Xenopus tropicalis: one gene and its partners. The protein of the gene in region 4 interacts with the protein of the main gene of each other region in a biochemical or structural test. Links are inferred from orthologs where the notes say so. Each region holds a gene or a part of one and is shown on either strand. Other genes may lie near its edges.

Region 1 (4,038 bases), about 19 Mb from region 4:
TTTCTACTTTTTTTCAATTTGAATAGCTGCACACAACATTAACCAGTGAAGGGCAAAAGTACACTATATATTAAAGTGATACTGACAAAAAATTAAGATTGAAAATTAGGGATTGCTGGTCTCTGCACTGAGTGCCGGATCTAAGGTCTTCTTACCATTGCTCCCTACATTGTGCCTCTGAATGGCATGCACAGTGGGGCACCAGTGTGTGGCACAGTCAAACTAACCAGCAGCCACTGAGACACAACAAAATCCTTATATATTTCCTAATTAAAAAAAATAGGCAAAACGTATGTTCAGCACAAGCCCTATTCACTGAACACATGTTGAAAAAGGGTATACTGTCCCTTTAAGGTCAGATTGATTGGACCAATCCTTACCGGTAATATATGGGCCCAGTCACAGAAGCAGACATAAGATAAATCTCAGTTAAAGGCAAACTCCACTCTACAGCAATTTTTAATAGTATGTGCTGACACACAAATCAAGGACACATACAGGCTAGGTTACACCAGCCAATGAATGGATGGAGAGGTGTGGCTTATATTCCCACATTTCTTCCTGTTACAGTTAGAACCTGGATTTTCCCTGATCAGTGGGTGATGCAAAACCATCACAAAAATAGTTTCTCAATACTAATACGTACAGGGCTGTATTTAGGTCCCGTGCCACCCTAAAAAGCACCCTTAGCTTGCAGAAGTGACATGAATTTTGCCCCTCACTCTCTACCCTCTGCACCTCACCCCTCCAGCTCCACCACTGGATTTGATCAGGTATAATCTGGCAGCTGCTTTTAAAATGTTAACAAATATATGGGCCCCTGAGGTCTACCCACTAAAGCTGCCACCCTAGTTAAAGGTCCCTGGGTGCCTATATATAAATACAGCGGAGGACAAGGAGACAAGAAATCCTGTATTTCTTTTGATAGAGGACTCAGTGCAGCGTTTCTGTGAGCGCTTATGGCTGTATTTATATAGACCTTTCTGATAAAGCTTACTTAGTTTTTACCTTTCTTCTCCTTTACAATTAGTAATTTGTTTAGACAACACTTTTATGGAAATCCAGCAGTCACTCTGATCCTTAAATAGTTATACCCTAGTTTTGCACCACAAACTGCCCCATCTTAGAGGAACATTTGGATTTGTAGAAAAGATAGTATTTTTGTTAGTAACCAAAACCTAGAAGAGTTAGAATCTAAACCAGTCATAGCTGTAGGATAAGTATTTGGGTTGTAATTAAACTTTTAGAAACAGTTAGTGAATTTAGTTTAAAAGGGATCAGTAATGAAACATACATCATGTTAGTAGTTAGAGTACAATGAGCAAGGCATATTCTCCTGGCAGTCCCACAAGTCTCATTAAAGCTTGTTACCTGTCCGCCATGTCACTGAAGGACTGAAGAACATTCTGTATTTCAGAAGAAGCACTATCCTTGAAATGGACCCCAAACACTAGTGCTGCCCACTGCAATGATAATAATGTTTGGGTCGGAAGCCCATATGGAAGATATGGGAAGTTTATAGAACAAATAGTCCATAAGTCATTAAACTAATAGTGCAGGTAATAGATGAATAATTACTAAGGCATCACTGGTGTATCCCAGTAATGGGTGGGATGGGGAATGCCTCTTCAAGCCATTAGATAAGCCAGTGTTCATGGTTAGGAAATATGACTTGCTACATGACATATATGTGTTACTGAGCCCAATATGGTGCATTATCCTGGCACATTATAAATTTGCAGTCCTACAAAAGCTACTGTAAGTTGTTACTCACACGTAGTATGTGCCCACCAGAAGCTCTTCTGTCAGGAGCAACACTCAAGGCAACACTGCCCTGGCTGCCATGCAGATCTCTACAGCTGCCATAGAGAGAGCTGCTAGTTGCACTGAAAGTGGAATTAAAGGACCTAGACAGCATGCTCTGAATAAAGGGACAGATGGAACAACATGGGTTAGTGAGGCATGCATTAACAACACAACAGGTTATTACTGAAGCACTCGGACAGGCAAGCAGGTATGGCATGCAGATGCCCAGGCACCCAAGCACACACACAGGTAACCCAAGCACACAGGCGCGCACACAGGTACCCAAGCACACAGGCGTGTGCGCACACACACACAGGTACCCAAACACACAGGCACGTGCGCGCACACACACACTCACACACAGGTACCCAAGCACACAGGCGCACACACACAGGTACCCAAGCACACAGGCGCACACACCCAGGTACCCAAGCACACAGGCGCACACACCCAGGTACCCAAGCACACAGGAGCACACACACAGGTACCCAAGCACACAGGCGCACACACACAGGTACCCAAGCACACAGGCGCACACACACAGGTACCCAAGCACACAGGTAACCCAAGCACACAGGTACCCAAGCACACAGGTACCCAAGCACACAGGTACCCAAGCACACAGGTACCCAAGCACACAGGTACCCAAGCACACAGGTACCCAAGCACACAGGTACCCAAGCACACAGGTAACCAAGCACACAGGTAACCAAAGCACACAGGTAACCAAAGCACACAGGTAACCCAAACACACAGGCACACACAGGTACCCAAGCACACACACACACAGGTACCCAAGCACACAGGTAACCCAAGCACACACACACACACAGGCACCCAAGCACACAGGCGCACACACAGGTACCCAAAAACACAGGTAACCCAGGCACCAAGGCACACAGGTACACAGAAGCAGTGCAGGTGTCAGAGGAGATACACAGGTAGCTTGTACACACAGTGATACACCAAACATAGATGGCTTGTGTACAGAGATACACCACATAGCACCTTTCCTACAGTTTCCAGATATTCAGGTGGCAGATTCAGGTTGGTTATTGCTGCCGTGGCCGGTAGTGTGCATTACTGTACAGCAAGGTTTGCTTATGCTTGAACGCTAGAAGCCATTAGAACATGCAACCTTCCCAGCTCACTATGCATTACAGCCATTGTAGGTGTGAGAGCTGTTATATCCAAAGCTGGCATGCAATTCTATAGACCTTATTCTCATATATCTCTCATTATGACTTACATATGAGTATGTATGAATATACATAACATAACATACATAATAGGGAAATGATTTAAACACAATGTTTTCTCCCTTTGTATAATTCATTTCTCTTTATTCAACTGAAAGAGTAATTAAGGAGGTGGAGCTAGTATTAGAATGTCATACGTTTACACTGGGAAAGGCAGTAAGTTGTTACCCTCTCCTGCAAAATTGTTCTATAATGGAGCAAATGGAAAAAATGGTTTATGGAAGAACAATCTACCTTTTATCAGCTTGGCTGCAGCCTGGGGTAGCTGAATGTCTAAAGGGGGCCATACATGGGCTGGTAAAAGCTTCTGCTGGACCGAGCTGGCAGCTTACTGGCCTGTGTATTGGGGCCCTGACTGATATCTGGTTGAAAATTAGCCAGATATCGATTGGGCAGGTATAAAAATCCCTGTAAGGAGTGCATGGAATCACTGATATGATTCTTGTCCCAACGGCCTACATCCTCTCAATGTGATTTGATTATCTGGCCCGAGGGCCAAATGACTGGATTAATCCAATATCACCCACCTTAAAGGTGTGCACAATGGGGAAAGATCCACTCATTAAATACTGAGCTTATAGAAATGAATTACAGGTATCGGACCCCTTATCCGGAAACCCATTATCCAGAATCGTCCGAATTATGGGAAGGCAATCTCCCATAGACTCCATTTTAATTAAATAATTCACATTTTTAAAAATGATTTCCTTTCTCTCTGTAATAATAAAACAGTACCTTGTACTTTGATCCCAACTAAGATATAATTAATCTTTATTGGAGCCAAAACAATCCTATTGGGTTTATTTACTGTTTAAATAATTTTATTAGCAGACTTAAGGTAGGAGATCCGAACTATGGAAAGAACCCTTATCTGGAAAACCCTAATCAGTCGGTTTGAGGTCTATTTAATAAACTTGGAAGAAATACACACACATTATATATATATATATATATATATATATATATATATATA
Region 2 (4,038 bases), on a different chromosome or scaffold from region 4:
CGGAATGGTGGCAAGGCTGGCGAGGCGGGCAAGGTCACTCCACAGCAAACCCACACGTCTCCTCGATGGCCGTCAGCAACTTCTCATACAGCTTCTCGTAGGTCTCGTACGGCGGGATGTCTATGCGGTTAAAGCTGAGAGAGAGAGAGAGGGGGAAAGGTTATGGGATGTCTGCCCGGGTCCTGCCCCTTCTACCAGCAAGAGAGGGGCAAAAGAACAAGTAAACATGGGGGGGGGGGTAAGAAGGCTTGGGGGGGGGGTAAGAAGGCTTGGGGGGGGGGTAAGAAGGCTTGGGGGGGGGTAAGAAGGCTTGGGGGGGTAAGAAGGCTTGGAGGGGGGTAAGAAGGCTTGGGGGGGTAAGAAGGCTTGGGGGGGGTAAGAAGGCTTGGGGGGGGTAAGAAGGCTTGGGGGGGGTAAGAAGGCTTGGGGGGGTAAGAAGGCTTGGGGGGGGTAAGAAGGCTTGGGGGGGGTAAGAAGGCTTGGAGGGGGTAAGAAGGCTTGGAGGGGGGGTAAGAAGGCTTGGAGGGGGGTAAGAAGGCTTGGAGGGGGGTAAGAAGGCTTACCAGGTATGAGCCTTGGGTAGGTTGTTAGTGCTGGCGTCGATCTGGTGAATGGTGAAAAGTCTCGGCCCCGCAGCACCTGCCCGTAACAAGGGAGAATTAGATCAGCCAATACCAGCACAGGATTCCCACAATACCCTGCAGTGAGAGGCCCCGCCCACAGAAACTCAGGCACTCCATGGAACTCGCCCCCTCTGCCCCCGGCACTCCATGGAACTCGCCCCCTCTGCCCCCGGCACTCCATGGAACTCGCCCCCTCTGCCCCCGGCACTCCATGGAACTCGCCCCCTCTGCCCCCGGCACTCCATGGAACTCGCCCCCTCTGCCCCCGGCACTCCATGGAACTCGCCCCCTCTGCCCCCGGCACTCCATGGAACTCGCCCCCTCTGCCCCCGGCACTCCATGGAACTCGCCCCCTCTGCCCCTGGCACTCCATGGAACTCGCCCCCTCTGCCCCCGGCACTCCATGGAACTCGCCCCCTCTGCCCCCGGCACTCCATGGAACTCGCCCCCTCTGCCCCCGGCACTCCATGGAACTCGCCCCCTCTGCCCCCGGCACTCCATGGAACTCGCCCCCTCTGCCCCCGGCACTCCATGGAACTCGCCCCCTCTGCCCCCGGCACTCCATGGAACTCGCCCCCTCTGCCCCCGGCACTCCATGGAACTCGCCCCCTCTGCCCCCGGCACTCCATGGAACTCGCCCCCAAATGAAATGGGGAGGAGCTTATTTGGGGTATATTTGGGCCCAGTACCTACCCTGTAATGCCTTAAAGCCCTGGAGGGGGACGCGGGAGGAGCCGGTGACAAACTGCAGCAGCCGGGCCCTTCGCTCTTCATCAAACGACTCCACCGCTTTCCAGAACCATTTCACGATGTTACTGTCAGCCGTGCAGTGTTTTAGCCGCGTGTTCGACTTCCAGTCATTCACATCGATCTTCCCCAGGCCGCAGATAATCAGCTGCAACAACAACACGGGGATGAGTTTGTCTGAAGCACCACAGGGGGTAAGTTACTCTCGGCCCGGCGCATTTGTATAGCAGGAAAAGAACAAGAGCATAACAAAGGGAAAGGTCCAGGGCCGGATGGGATTCATCCCAGGGTATTAATTGGGCTCAGCGCTGTGATTGCCAAACCTCTTCCCTTAATTTCCCAGGATTCCCTGAGGTCGGGCATGGTGCCGAGAGACTGGCCAATTGCTAATGTGGTGCCGTTATTTAAACAGCGATCCCGCTCTCAGCCTGAAAACTATAGGCCTGTTAGTCTGACATCAGTAGTAGGAAAGCTTCTGGAAGGGGTAATAAGGGATAGGATAGTTGAATACATTGCAGTTCACAATACTATTAGTTTGTGCCACAGGGGTTTATGGGTAACAGATCTGACTCATTTAGTCGCCTTTATGAGGAGGTGAGTAGGAACCTTGATGCTGGAATGGCAGTGGATGGGATCTACTTGGACTTTGCTAAAGCGTTTGATACAGTACCTCACAGAGGGTTAATGATCAAATTAAGGAATATTGGCCTAGAACATAATATTTGTAATTGGATAGAGAACTGGCTGAAGGATAGAGTACAAAGAGTGGGGGGAAATGGAACAGTTTCTAATTGGGCCAGTGTGGTTAGTGGGTACCGCAAGGGTCAGTCCTTGGGCCAGTGTGGTTAGTGGGTACCGCAGGGGTCAGTCCTTGGACCAGTGTGGTTAGTGGGTACCGCAGGGGTCAGTCCTTGGACCAGTGTGGTTAGTGGGTACCGCAGGGGTCAGTCCTTGGGCCAGTGTGGTTAGTGGGTACCGCAGGGGTCAGTCCTTGGGCCAGTGTGGTTAGTGGGTACCGCAGGGGTCAGTCCTTGGACCAGTGTGGTTAGTGGGTACCGCAGGGGTCAGTCCTTGGGCCAGTGTGGTTAGTGGGTACCGCAGGGGTCAGTCCTTGGACCAGTGTGGTTAGTGGGTACCGCAGGGGTCAGTCCTTGGGCCAGTGTGGTTAGTGGGTACCGCAGGGGTCAGTCCTTGGGCCTTTGCTTGTTTATTAATGCCCTGGGGGGGGGGGCACAGACGGTACTGTTGTATTTTTGCTGGCGACACTAAATTGGGCAGAACTATAAGTTCCATGCAGGGTGCGGAGATTATAAAAGACCCCCAGAAACACACCTTTCATACAAACACCGTATGGGAACTTACTACTGAGAAAACATTTATGGTTTTAGTTAATGAGGGCAAGTTGTAGTTTAACTAAGGGGGAGTTTTCTGGCCGGGGGGGTTGGTATTTGTGGCACCCAGAGCCCCCCCAGGCTGTGTGTATGGGCCTGAGGCACCCACTCCCGGGCTAATGGCCGACTCACTCACCTCTAGTTCCTTTTCATCAAATGCTTTCAGCAAGTGCTGGGGAATCACCTCGTTAAACCCCTTCTGCAGAGCCAGAAACTGCGCCTCGATCCCCCGCAGGAACCGCCAGTTCACATACAGCCTGAAACGAAGGGTTAATATTGTCTGTAGCAGTATGGCAGCACTCCAGATATGGCACAGAGGCTAGAAGGTTGGCACTGAGGCTATAAGATACGGCACTGAGGCTATAAGATACGGCACTGAGGCTATAAGATACGGCACTGAGGCTATAAGATCTGGCACTGAGGCTATAAGATCTGGCACTGAGGCTATAAGATCTGGCACTGAGGCTATAAGATCTGGCACTGAGGCTATAAGATCTGGCACTGAGGCTATAAGATACGGCACTGAGGCTATAAGATACGGCACTGTGGCTATAAGACTGGCACTGAGGCTATAAGACTGGCACTGAGGCTATAAGATCTGGCACTGAGGCTATAAGATCTGGCACTGAGGCTATAAGATACGGCACTGAGGCTATAAGATCTGGCACTGAGGCTATAAGATACGGCACTGAGGCTATAAGATCTGGCACTGAGGCTATAAGATACGGCACTGAGGCTATAAGACTGGCACTGAGGCTATAAGATCTGGCACTGAGGCTATAAGATCTGGCACTGAGGCTATAAGATACGGCACTGAGGCTATAAGACTGGCACTGAGGCTATAAGATACGGCACTGAGGCTATAAGATACGGCACTGAGGCTATAAGACTGGCACTGAGGCTATAAGACTGGCACTGAGGCTATAAGGTTGGCACTGAGGCTATAAGGTTGGCACTGAGGCTATAAGGTTGGCACTGAGGCTATAAGACTGGCACTGAGGCTATAAGACTGGCACTGAGGCTATAAGATCTGGCACTGAGGCTATAAGACTGGCACTGAGGCTATAAGATCTGGCACTGAGGCTATAAGACTGGCACTGAGGCTATAAGACTGGCACTGAGGCTATAAGATACGGCACTGAGGCTATAAGATACGGCACTGAGGCTATAAGGTTGGCATTGAGGCTATAAGATACGGCACTGTGGCTATAAGATCTGGCACTGAGGCTATAAGGTTGGCACTGAGGCTATAAGATCTGGCACTGAGGCTATAAGAT
Region 3 (4,038 bases), on a different chromosome or scaffold from region 4:
TATATTGTTGATTTTTTTTATTACAATATAAAAAGTAGACTTCAATGATAAAAGTGGAAAAAGCAACCAATGCAAGCAAAGCTTACTAAGACCTTTTAAGAGTGTAAAAACTGTAACTGTTTTAGCACCGGGGCTGAATTTTCACCAGTTTTTATCAATGCCAACTTGCAAACCTTTGGTTTTTAAACATGATTTTATCCAACAGGATTCCTTGCAGCCCTCTCCAAAAAATTATACTCCAATAAAAATCAAGTTACTTGCAACTCATCCCAAAGGCATATTAAGATACATTGCTTTTCCTAAAATCCTTTATCATGTTATAGTAAAGAAAATGCCATCAACAACAGCTTTGTCCAGCCACCTTGATAATCAGTCAGTTATTAAATGTGAGGAGTGGATTCAGTCAAGAGTAGCAATGTTCATTTAAGTTGCTAAATAACTATAATTTGAGGATAGGGCACCACATTTTTCCCACAGTTTAAAGATGTACATCAAAAACTATAAGTGTGAACTGTTCTATATGAATTTCTCTACCATGACTTCCCAAGGTGCACATGCTGGTGCCCTGCAGGATATAATGGCTTGTATTGGTTAGTTTGTCACATATTAGTTAAGAGAATCAAATGGGTTGATGGGGAGGCATTGGAAGGTATTATTGCATATTTTATTGTGCTTTATTTGTATATTTCACTATTAAATAATAGCTCTTACTCCGTATGCATGACTGAAAAGGCCAAGAGCAAAAAAGTGCAGTCTTTAAAGTTGAATACATAAGTACATTACAAATAGAGGAAAGAAATGTTACACGGAATTTGTTTTCATTAGTGGTGAGGCCTCATTCTCAAAATATAGCAATTTATATAATATCCGATTCCTAGCCCCCAGTGTATTTTCTGCCCATTCTGGTATTCTACATTGTGCCAAACTGATAACCAATGGCAAATACCTCAGTGCACAGAGGGGTGAAAATATAGATTAAATACTGAATTCAGCAAATATGTTTGTAACAAAAAACAGTTTACCATAAATCCGATATATATATATATATATATATATATCTCCAAATACTAGCATCATTCTTTCCACAAAGTTTGACAGTCCATGTTAATGTTACAAAATCCGTCCTTATCTTTTTCCCTTTATGGTGGTGGATTGAACATTTAAACACATATGCCCAAAGATCATTTTCTATTATGATGAGATGAAACACTGGTCAGTAAAGCCGAGCAGTTTCTTTTTTTTCTCTCTGTAGCCCTGGAAAGTTGTTATCCTACATAGTTACAAACATTTGTCCTTGTGAGATTAATATAATATATATATATATATATATATATATATATATATATATATATATATATATATATATATATATATATATATATATATATTATATATATATATATAAAATATTTTTAAAAATTTAAATAAAAACCAAGATGGAGCACTCTGATTTTTTTTTTGTTTGATGGAAAAGTCCATAAATGATAGGGAATAATAGTGATGGCTTGCTACAAGTACATTGCACAATCGACATGAATAGTATGGAGACTGGGGGGAGGGGGGTGGGGGGGGAGTAAGGAGTAGAGGGTGCTTCTATAAGAAACCCCAAAGCTTGTAACAAGTCAGATAAAATTGTGCATCAAGGTTTTTAAGTCCATTATACAAAAATCTTGTCTGATAGTTTTTTTTTTCTTTTCTTCTATTTTCAATACACAGTCTTTTGAAGGTCCTCAACATTTTAATATATCTTTTTATATTAAATAGCTTATAAGAAAATGTAAATCCCAAAGTGTTCCAAGCAAGCAGCTTTGCTGGATGCAGTTGTTCTCTTGTAGTTGACTTGTAGAAAAAAAAATGGTTTCACTGGAGAGCCAAAAGGACTCTATATAAACACTCTGAGGCACAGTAAGATGTTGTGCTGTGTAGATTTAAAAGAGGCATAGTTCAGTGCTTCTGTTGTATAGAGTAACATTTTCCCTCTGACTAGTAAGTTTTTTTTTTTTCTTTTTAGCGTGCCCCAAGGCACACGCTCCATACACTCACACATGCACCTATTCATGCATACGTCGCGCATTCTCCTCCTTTTCCTGTGCATATACGTAAAATTCTGTATATGAATAGATAAGGTATTTATTTTTCTTAAAAGTTTTTGAATTAGTTTTCAATGTCTTTCCTTGTGTGTTCACTGCTGGGAAGATGGCTGGTCTTCGACCAGAGCTGTTCCTGGAGGTCTTTCACCACTTTTTCCAAGTGTTCTCTGGCTTCTCGTTCTTGTACTAGATCTGTCCGTAGCTGTTCTCTGTCATTTTCTGCATGCTGAAGCTTAGACTGTAGCTCCTCAATCTGAAATTTAAAGAAAACATTTTCAGTATTTCATGTGGTTTCATCACAAGCAAATACTCCACCTTTGAAGTAATAAACAAACTCCTTTTTTTTTTTTTTTTATCTGTCGTTTACTGCCCATTCCACAAAGCAGAGTGTACAGAGCAAAGCACATCTTGGAATAAAACTGGTCATATCAGTAATCAATAATCTGTTTCTTGCAGGACAAAACAAATCCAAAAAAAGGATGATGGGAGGGGTTGTATAATGGCAACCTAAACATTGTCCTCAAAAAGTAGAAACATTGATTCTTTAGACCTTTAGATTCTCTACTTAGCTCAAGTAATAACAAAAATATGTCAAAATGTCAAAAAGACATTAGGCAAAAAGGATGTTCAGCACAAGCTGTATTCGTTACACTCATGTAGCACAAGAGAGACGTAATGTGTGCATAATAGATTGCAGATTCATTTAAACTGCATGTGAACTGTTTTTGGAAAAACTTGTGGGCCACGCAAGAGTACCTAAAAGCAGCATCATTAGGGAGACAGGCAACCCTGAGATTTCAAGGTAACTCTGGGCTAGAAAAACATTCTGATAAGCCAAGTTTCCTGATCAGGACCCAGCTGCAGCTTTGTATTATGTAAAGATGGAAGTAAGCAGGTAACACCCTTAATACAGTTCTTACTCTGGTAATGTTTAGTCTGGATGCCTCTTATCAGCCTAGTGCTGAAGAGGAAGTCCACATCATTTCCTGCTTCTGGTCTCCTAAGTTTGGCATGTCTCACATCAGTAGAATGAGTGCACACCCCTTCCCGTTATTGACTGAGCATTTTCAAAGAAATGCAATGTCTCTAAGCTGTTTAAAAGAATGCTGCATATATTTTTTTTCAGCATGGCAAGAAAATTATTAACAAACAAATCAGTAGGAGCAAACCAGCTGCGGAAAGACTGTTGAAACTAGAAGATTAGAGCACTTTATTTAACCCGACTAACACAGTGGACCGAATAAAAAAAATATACAGATATTAAGCATGTTGGTAAGATACATGGTTTTATTTAAAGCACTAAATGATTACCTGGGCGGAGTATTTGACCCGTATCCTGCCAGCTTCACAGCCTTTGTCACACACCCTAATCTGTCTGGCTTGCTCCAGCTCTCTTTTCAGACGTAACCGAGATTCATTTGCTTCTTTCATTTTCTTTTCATTCTCTGCCCTCAGACGCTCAATCTCTTTTCTTAAGTTGCGCTTTGCCTCAGTCGCCTCTCTTAACTTTTCTTTTTTAGCAACTCGCAGGAACTCCAACTCCTGCAGCAAGAAAAAAAAAATCAAGAATATAATTAGTACTGATCTATGATCAATGCAGTGCAAAGAATCGATTGCTTGACTTTGACAGTAATATTATATGAGAGATTTTAGATTAGATTGAAACACAAAATACATATGCATAGTTAATAAATCTTTAGGTAAGTGCCATAAAAAATAAGCACAGAGGAAGATCTTTTAGAAAACGCATCCAACATTTTAACTTGCCCTAATGCTATTGAGTAGTTAGACAGGAATTCTGCACATACAAAACATGTTTGCAGTTGAATACAAATGCATTATAAGCTTCTATAGTTCCTAGTTGGTATTGTTGTTGTTATAAAGATTGACAGAATGACATATGGGGGTGGAGGACTGGACCAGAAGTGACACTTCCCCTCTCGCTCAG
Region 4 (4,753 bases):
TGAGTAAAACAGGAGTGTTTTGACCACTGCTGTTCCCCCCCCCCCCCCCCAGCAACTCAGTATATGTACATGCTACTGAAAGTGTCATAGATACAGGCTTTATAAAGGGTAAATAAACCTATTTCTTGTCAGCTAAGTATGTAACTTTCCTGTCATTGCAAGTCAATAGGCCAGTCATTCTCTGCAACTGTTCTGCATCATTCCCACAATTTAAACTCAATAGCCCTGATCCCTAGAGTAAAGGGATATAGAGTATAGAGTTTTGGGGTGCACTTAAGGCTGACAGCCTATGCGCCATATCTGCTGGAAATGTATTTAAGACAGTGGAAAAGCAGCCATTCTGCATGTCACCTCTCTAATGAGCATTGGTCTAAAAAGCAGCAGAATCATAGTGGTTACCCAAGAAACAATGTATATTTGGTTTTTAAATAGCCAACATGTATCAAATCTTGGTTAGATTCTTTCATTCCATGTGTGGACATTAATCACACAACTGCTATATTGCATGATAAACAGACTAACTGCAGCATAAGGGGGAAGACACATAGAGCTACTAGTAGCAGCTACTTGTCACGGATACTAAAATAGACAATGCTGATCATTTACTGATAATTGTCTTTACGTGTGTTTTAGCAGAGGCAATTCTCAGTATTGTCTATGGCAGGGGATTTTCTGGTGTTTAGTAGCCATGACAAGTAGCTGCTATTGAGTAGCTCCTTGTGTCTTCGTCTTTAAGGCCCCCATACACGGACCGATAGTAGCTGCTGATATCAGTCCCTTAGACCGATTCGGCAGCTAATCGGCCCGTGTATGGGCACTTCGGACAGGCCTGCCCGACCAATATCTGGCCTGAAATCGGGCAGGTTAGAAAATCTAGTCGGATCGGGGACCACATCAGCTCGTTGATGCGGTCTCCAGATCGACTTTACCTATACCCATCATTAAAATTTGATCATTTGGCCCCAGGGCCTGGATTCTCCCGATATCGCCCACCTGTAGGTGGGGATATCGGGAGAAGATCCGCTCGCTTGGCGACATCACCACGCGAGCAGATCTGCCAGTGTATGGGGACCTTTAGAAAGAATAGACACAAAGAAAGAAAACTCTTCAATGTACAGTCATTACAGAATGCAATAGATTTAGGGTGAAGACACACAGAGCTACTAGTAGCAGCTACTTGTTGCGGCTACTAAAATAGACAATGCTGATCATTTACTGATAATTATCTCTACGTGTGTTTAGCAGAGGCAATTCTCAGTATTGTCTATGGCAGGGGATTTTCTGGCGTTTTGTAGCTGTGACAAGTAGCTGCTACTAAGTAGCTCTGTGTGTCTTCGCCTTAAGAAAGAATAGACAGAAAGAAAGAAAACTCTCCAATGTACAGTCATTACGGAACGCAATAGATTTAGGCTGAAGACACACAGAGCTACTAGTAGCAGCTACTTGTTGCGGCTACTAAAATAGACAATGCTGATCATTTACTGATAATTGTCTCTACGTGTGGTTTAGCAGAGGCAATTCTCAGTATTGTCTATGGCAGAGGATTTTCTGGCTGTTAGCAGCCGTGACAAGTAGCTGCTACTAAGTAGCTCTGTGTGTCTTCGCCTTAAGAAAGAATAGACAGAAAGAAAGAAAACTCTCCAATGTACAGTCATTACGGAACGCAATAGATTTAGGCTGAAGACACACAGAGCTACTAGTAGCAGCTACTTGTTGCGGCTACTAAAATAGACAATGCTGATCATTTACTGATAATTGTCTCTACGTGTGGTTTAGCAGAGGCAATTCTCAGTATTGTCTATGGCAGGGGATTTTCTGGCCTTTAGTAGCTGTGACAAGTAGCTGCTACTAAGTAGCTCTGTGTGTCTTCACCCATAAAGTTGTAAGAAGAATTGCAACTCAACGCAGCACTTGTCTGCCCCCTTCTGCACTGCAGGTTCTGACTTTCGAAGCAACACAGCAGAAGGCAGCCGCGCAAGGCTGGAAGGAACACCAAAGCACAGACCATGTTTCTATAATAATAAAGTATGAATAATGTATAATGGAAAGTTGCTTAGAATTTGGGGGGGGTAGATCCACTTTTAACAGCACCAAACTCCAGCAGGCTCAGCCAATCAGAAGGCCAGGCCCAAGTGCAGACCATGGAACAGACACAGGACATTGATTTCTGACTATAGAAATTCTGAAAGAACTGACAACTGAGCACTTAGAAAGTCCCATAAATATGAGAAAATGGGTGAATAGGGATCAGAAGCCCAGCAGCATATGTTCCCAGGGATCCAGCCAGCTGTTACAGAACTACAACTCCCATAATCCTCCAGCAGCTATAAGACAGAGGTTATTGATCTATACAGTAATGAACAGTTATCATTCGGGTTTATTCTCCGTTTAAACTACAGACCGGCCAATAGCTCCCTAGCGCGTCCGCCTCCAGCAATCGTGGAACTACGACTCCCAGCATGCTCAGCGCCCGCTACAGAGGCCGAAAGGCCGGCAAGTGCAATTACCTGAAGATGTGGCGGCTCCCCGGCCCGGTCAGGCCTAACTGGACAGGAGGGAGGAGGGGGAAATACGCAACAACGACCCCGAACCAAGATGGCGGCAGAGGAAGCCCCCGCTCATACAGACGGGCCCTTAGCGCCTCGGCCCCCAAAGCCCCAGCGGGCACCGGGTTCCTGTTCCCCTTTCTCTATATATTATTGTTATCCTTAGTCCCCCTTCTCTCCCCCACACACCGCTCCTCACACACCGAACCGCGCCGCTCTCTCACCCGGCCAACCTCAGCCTCGCCACAGCCGCTGGCTCCGCCCTCCTTTGTCAATCACTACGGCCTATTGGCGGCCGGAGGCATAAAGCGAACGCTGATTGGAGCAACGTGCTGTCAATCGCTTCCACCTCAAACCACCCCCCCTTCACGTCATTTTTATTAAATTATATTTGATAGGACTGGAGCTCCGCCCAATCTACGTTCGCTGAAGGCGTCCACTGGGCCGAGTGACGTGTGTCGCGTATAGATCTGAAGGTGTGGCGAGAAGTGAGAGGGCCGGCCCACTCCGGCGCGACGGGTTTGGCGTGGCTTCTCAAGGTTTCTGAGTGATTGACAGGTGAGGGACGATCGAAAGCGGAAGAGTGCGCCTGCGCAGAAACGGGGAAGCTGTTTAGTAGAATATAAATGACTGTGGTGTGGAAACTTTTACATATAGAGTTTAATATTTTCGTTTACTATAAAGAAATATGAAGCCAGTTTGCTGCCCTCTTAACTTAATTGGAACTTAGATAAAAGGTGGGGTTGTGCAGGATTCTGGGAGTTGTAGTTTCCTTAATAGTGGCAGATTGCCCGTCCATGATGTAAATACTGATGATACAAACAAGAATTCAGTGTTTTAAATTCTTTGTAATTGTAGTTACTCCTCCCCCCAAGGGCCCCTGGGATGCAGGGCCACAGACAATGCCATCTCAATTTAATTGGTTCAATTGAACAGCAGCTGCCCTTAGAGCCTGGGTATCTGGTCAGGCGGTTTGGGGTTGTGTTGTGGGAAATGCCTTATGACCAATCCCTTGGCCCCATACTACTTGTATCTAGAGTTGCCATCTTTGCTGTGGGCAAAGCCAAACAAAGGGGGTGGGGCAGATGGATTCAGGGGCGGGGCAGTGATGCTGGGGGTGTGTATGATGACATCAGAGGCAGACACAATAATGCCTGGCCTGGTTATGATGTCAGGGCAGAGTTATTACATCACTATGACGCTATTGGCTGGATTTCAGTAAGTCCAAGCCTTTCATTAAAGGCAAAGGATCTGTTATACAGAAACCAGTTATCCAGAAAGCTCTGAAATACAGCGATGCTAATTTAAAAAAGCTTTTTTTCTCATTTTACTTTCTGTAACAATAATGTACTTGATGATAACAAAACAAGGGGCAGCCCTACATGTATCTGAGGTGTGAGAGTTATAGTTTCAACTGTGTGGTTAATACCAATTTCATTTCAATTTCCAGGTTATTGGGAGCAACTTTGCTTTTACGTGTATGTAAAATGTGCCTTACAGTCCCTATATCTGCCATACTTGGTGTGGGCATTAAACAGTGGGTGTGGTCTGGGTGGAACAGGGAGTGGTCTGGGTGGAACAGGGAGTGGTCTGGGTGGAACAGGGAGTGGTCTGGGCGGTACAAGTGGGCATTTGCCAGAACCCACAGATTGCCAGTCCAGGCCTGGGTGGACATGTTACACAAAATCTTCTCATTTTTGCCCTCCTTGGGGCTTTTTTATGATTGACTGAGCTGAGAATGTGTGCAGCATTACTAGAGCCCTGCCTACAACTGAGCTATGGGGTAGGAATAGTTTCACAAAGGGAAAAGAATTTGTAGTCCCCCCAAAAGTAATAAGCATTGGGTTTAATTGGGATTGGTGGGACAAAATACAATGTGATAGAATCTTAAGAAATCACATCTTTGCCCCCAAATATAAGCGTGGAAATGTATACTTACTTATAGTTGCTTCCATTTGGGGGCAAAAATGTGAGTTTGAGGGGTTAATGTGCAAATGAGTTCTGTTGGGTGTTTTAGTAATTTGTAAAAAAGAAAACATTGGGGGTGTCTCTAAGGGGCCCATTCATGAAACCACGGTTTTCGGGTGGTTAAAATCATGACTGAAAAAAATTCGGAGTAACCACAATGATCTCCCCTGCAATCCATTTTAAACTCTGCTCAGCCTCAATTAAGCTCTCTAGCATGGCTGCCTGTTAAGCAAAGGAGC
Region 5 (4,038 bases), on a different chromosome or scaffold from region 4:
TGGGGACGGTGTTTTGGGGGTCATAGGCAGCATTTTTCTTCCTCCAAACACAGCGAGTTGAGTTAATGCCAAAGAGCTATTTTGGTCTCATCAGACCACAGCACCTTCTCCCAGTCACTCACAGTATCATTCAGGTGTTCATTGGCAAACTTCAGACGGGCCTGCACATGTGCCTTCTTGAGCAGGGGGACCTTGCGAGCCCTGCAGGATTTTAATCCATTGCGGTGTAATGTGTTTCCAATGGTTTTCTTGGTGACTGTGGTCCCTGCTAATTTGAGGTCATTAACTAACTCCTCCCGTGTAGTTCTAGGATGCTTTTTCACCTTTCTCAGAATCATTGACACCCCACGAGGTGAGATCTTGCGTGGAGCCCCAGAGCGAGGTCGATTGATGGTCATTTTGTGCTCCTTCCATTTTCGAACAATCGCACCAACAGTTGTCACCTTCTCTCCCAGCTTCTTGCTAATGGTTTTGTAGCCCATTCCAGCCTTGTGCAGGTCTACAATTTTGTCTCTGACATCCTTGGACAGCTCTTTGGTCTTTCCCATGTTGGAGAGTTTGGAGTCTGCTTGATTGATTGATTCTGTGGACAGGTGTCTTTTATACAGGTGACTAGTTAAGACAGGTGTCCTTAATGAGGTTGACTAATTGAGTAGAAGTGTCTAACCACTCTGTGGGAGCCAGAACTCTTAATGGTTGGTAGGGGTTCAAAAACTTATTTCACTCAATGAAATGCAAATCAGTTGCTATCTTTTATTTAAAGTTATTTTTTCGATTTTCCTTTTGATGTGCTATCTGCCACTGTTAAAATAAACCTACCAGTAAAATGATACTGTTCTGAGACTTTTCATTTCTTTGTCATTGGACAAACTTACAAAATCAGTGAGGGGTCAAATAATTATTTCCTCCACTGTATCTCCTGTCATAAACAACTTTTCCAACCTAGCCAACCAGGGTTTGGAATGCCTGATCCAGGAGGTTTAAAGGAGAGTACCAAATTGCTGTCAATTGCTGTCAAACTGCAGTTTCCTGAACACTCCAAATTGAGCATATATATGCATTTCCTTTAGCATCATCCATTTTCACTGCATACCTCTGTCCAGCGAATGATTTTACCACTAGCTTTGTATTCTGAGCCATGAAAAATCTTGACACTGGTCACAGACTCCATTGATTTGCCATCAATCGGACTAAAAACGCTGCACCAGAATAAAGGACACAGGTGAAAAAAGGGTTAGAGTTTGATTCAGTTGACTTATTCTGTTTAAATACAAACACTTTATTGCAATATAATTAAAGTGGAATGAATATGAAGAAGCCTCCCTTCAACAAAACACATCAGAGTAAAGACTCTCCTAGGGCAGTATACTGTAGCCATAAAACTACTAGCCATTCCTCTTCTGGCAATACTCATAAAATTCATGCTGTATTTAGAGATTCTAAATTGTAGGATATTCCAGTGATATATACTGCTTATTGCTACTTATTACGATGAGGTTCAAAGTGGATAAATGTTAAATAATGCATCTACTAACAAACAAGCTAGAAATACTTTAAGCTATTTCTATTTCAGTGCCAGACATGGCACTCCAGAATTTGTACCTGTATAAAAGGAGCATTTCATTCAAGAGATGCAAGCACAAGTCTGCCTATTATTAATTGGACATACCATCATGGGTATGCAGTACACTTTTGGCACCCAACTTAAAGGCACCTTAAGCTGGCCATACACTGAAAGATCCTCTTGTTTGGCAAGGTCCCTTATATTCTCACCTTGAGGTGGGCAATATCTGCTTGATGCAATCACTGACCCTCGAGCAAAACGATCGGATTACATTGACAGAGGTGCAGGCCATTAGGCAAGGACCTCATCAACAAGCTGATGCACTCCTCACCCCAACAGGATTTAATTCCCAATAAATTTTAACTCTGCATGATCAACAGCTGGCCAATTTCGAGCCAGGTATCGGTTAGCAGGCCTATATGAAACCCTGTGTATGGCCACCTTAAAGGAAAACTATACAATACTTAAAGGAATACTTAACCAATACATAGGTCACTTAACATAATATAAACTATTAAAGAATCTCGCCAAACTGGAATATATTTATCAGTAAATATTGCCCTTTTACATCCTTTCCCTTGATCCGCCATTTAGTAATGGGCTTTGTTCTCCCTCAGTGATCACATGACAAAGAAATAATGCAGCTCTAAATGTAACAGGAAGAAGTGTGGAAGCAAATGGAAGAACTCTGTTCATTAACTGGCTGATGTGGCCTAGCATGTATGTGTGCCTTGGCTTGTTTGTGTGCGCTGTGAATCCTATGATCCTAGGAGGTGGCCCTTAATCTATTTAGGATTACCCAATAGCACATACTACTAAAAAAGTATAATTTTCTAAAACTGGTTTATTTAGATGAAGCAGGGTTTTACATATGAGCTTGTTTATGCAATGTATTTTTATAGAGACCTACAATGTTTGGGGGATACAATCAATGCATTCTCTGATAAACCCTTTTCCTAAAAGGATTGTGCAAATGCCGAGTGGACACCCTCTGAGATCAGTGGGAAACCAAGTGAGTCATTGATGGGGTTCAAAGATTTCTTACCCTTTGTTGAAATTCTTGTCATCCTCCACCCACTGGACATAGACATGCTCCTGTGTCTCCTCTGCATCAGCTTTTCCACATGTAATGGTGAAGTCCTTCATCTCCCTAAGGGACTGTCTGAGGGCATCCATGCTCTCTGCGGTGATCTGAACCATTACCCCATCTGGGACACAGAAGGGCTTGCATCATGTGGTGGAAGATACATTCACATTTTTAAAACATGGATATTTTTTGAATATCCATGTTTGTAATAAAGTATTATTAATGTAAAAATTTAAACTCTTCTGCCAATAAACCTTTAAATCAAGTCTCAACAGGAATGCACCAAATCCCTAATTTTTTGGATTTGGCCAAATCCTCCACAAAACATTTGTCTGAAAAACAAACCAAATAGGGACCCTAACTTGAATTTTTGAATCTGAAAAAATAAGCATCATCTGTGAACAGCCAACAGTTCAGCCAGAACTTTAAATTCATATGACTTTAAGGGTTTGACCAAAGCACTAAGGATTTTACCATATCCTTAATTATGCAAACAGTGATGCATACTGGCTAAATCTTGGTGCATCCATAATTTCAGCTTAGCTAATACAACTATCTAATGTATAATGCCACACAGTAAGAATTTTCCAGACCTTGGTAAATGTGACAAAGCTTAGGTTTTTATATTTTACCTTCTACAATGCTGGATTTGGCCAGGTAGCCGGAAGAAGACTTTAGAGCCCCACTGAAGACAAAAAAGCTGGCCCCAGTCACTAAAATTACAAAAGAAGACTCAATGGTTAATGTGTTGCTTTTAGAGGGTGTTAACATAGACGGACAACATTAAGGAGGAATCATCCCATTATATTGAGTTCCTCAAACTTGTATTCTGTGTAAAAATTATATTGCGACAGAATCCAAACAAATAAAATATGTAAGTTAATAACTTTCCTGGCAATGCCAGGTGAGTATGTTACATCCTTCTCACCTTTACGTGGCTGTTTGTGGATACTAATGGCCTGGGTCTGGTAATTGCCATCATCATTCTGCACACACACAAGGTGAGAGTCAGCCATCTGATTGAAGCATGCACCTATGGCAAGCACATGCTCATTGGATTTGTTCATCGCTTTCATCATCTGTGGGTAACAATGACATAAGTGCCCTCACATATCATCATAAAAACAGTTTCTGTCTAGTGCAAATAACTAAGCATACAGAAACGAATATCACTGGATTCTGTAACACATACTTCTCAGTTACTGTTAACTTCAGGTACAGGTTAAAAAAAAAAAAACCCACTTTGTTTTAGGGCTATAGGCTCAGATTGCCATTGTAGATATATATGTGCAATATGGCGTGACTCTGCGCCTTTTCCAATATGTATCAAAGAGTTCTGGGCTATTGTTGTAATCCAAAGTATATTATTGGGACATTAGATAGGAGA

What was found.
Region 1: the proteins of smad2 (region 4) and erbin form a complex in vitro, tested with the Homo sapiens proteins (2 studies listed by BioGRID). The link is inferred for Xenopus tropicalis from reciprocal best matches to the Homo sapiens genes SMAD2 and ERBIN.
Region 2: the proteins of smad2 (region 4) and smurf2 form a complex in vitro, tested with the Homo sapiens proteins (3 studies listed by BioGRID and IntAct, with this or other methods). The link is inferred for Xenopus tropicalis from reciprocal best matches to the Homo sapiens genes SMAD2 and SMURF2.
Region 3: the proteins of smad2 (region 4) and ski form a complex in vitro, tested with the Homo sapiens proteins (4 studies listed by BioGRID). The link is inferred for Xenopus tropicalis from reciprocal best matches to the Homo sapiens genes SMAD2 and SKI.
Region 5: the proteins of smad2 (region 4) and zfyve9 are reported together in a solved structure, tested with the Homo sapiens proteins (2 studies listed by BioGRID and IntAct, with this or other methods). The link is inferred for Xenopus tropicalis from reciprocal best matches to the Homo sapiens genes SMAD2 and ZFYVE9.

The regions. Positions count from the first base shown.
Region 1 is NC_030677.2:187,512,399-187,516,436, forward strand, and holds part of erbin (erbin), read right to left. Parts: intron 1,922-4,038; coding exon 1,775-1,921; intron 1-1,774. UniProt on the Homo sapiens protein: Acts as an adapter for the receptor ERBB2, in epithelia. By binding the unphosphorylated 'Tyr-1248' of receptor ERBB2, it may contribute to stabilize this unphosphorylated state.
Region 2 is NC_030686.2:51,464,934-51,468,971, reverse strand, and holds part of smurf2 (E3 ubiquitin-protein ligase SMURF2), read right to left. Parts: intron 3,019-4,038; coding exon 2,898-3,018; intron 1,519-2,897; coding exon 1,317-1,518; intron 640-1,316; coding exon 564-639; intron 135-563; coding exon 35-134; 3' UTR 1-34. UniProt on the Homo sapiens protein: E3 ubiquitin-protein ligase which accepts ubiquitin from an E2 ubiquitin-conjugating enzyme in the form of a thioester and then directly transfers the ubiquitin to targeted substrates.
Region 3 is NC_030683.2:91,191,862-91,195,899, forward strand, and holds part of ski (ski oncogene), read right to left. Parts: intron 3,633-4,038; coding exon 3,402-3,632; intron 2,344-3,401; coding exon 2,155-2,343; 3' UTR 1-2,154. UniProt on the Homo sapiens protein: May play a role in terminal differentiation of skeletal muscle cells but not in the determination of cells to the myogenic lineage. Functions as a repressor of TGF-beta signaling.
Region 4 is NC_030677.2:206,088,255-206,093,007, reverse strand, and holds the start of smad2 (mothers against decapentaplegic homolog 2), read right to left. Parts: upstream 2,879-4,753; 5' UTR 2,771-2,878; exon of another isoform or gene 2,508-2,770; intron 1-2,507. UniProt on the Homo sapiens protein: Receptor-regulated SMAD (R-SMAD) that is an intracellular signal transducer and transcriptional modulator activated by TGF-beta (transforming growth factor) and activin type 1 receptor kinases.
Region 5 is NC_030680.2:96,607,815-96,611,852, reverse strand, and holds part of zfyve9 (zinc finger FYVE domain-containing protein 9), read right to left. Parts: intron 3,731-4,038; coding exon 3,580-3,730; intron 3,365-3,579; coding exon 3,284-3,364; intron 2,773-3,283; coding exon 2,610-2,772; intron 1,200-2,609; coding exon 1,094-1,199; intron 1-1,093. UniProt on the Homo sapiens protein: Early endosomal protein that functions to recruit SMAD2/SMAD3 to intracellular membranes and to the TGF-beta receptor.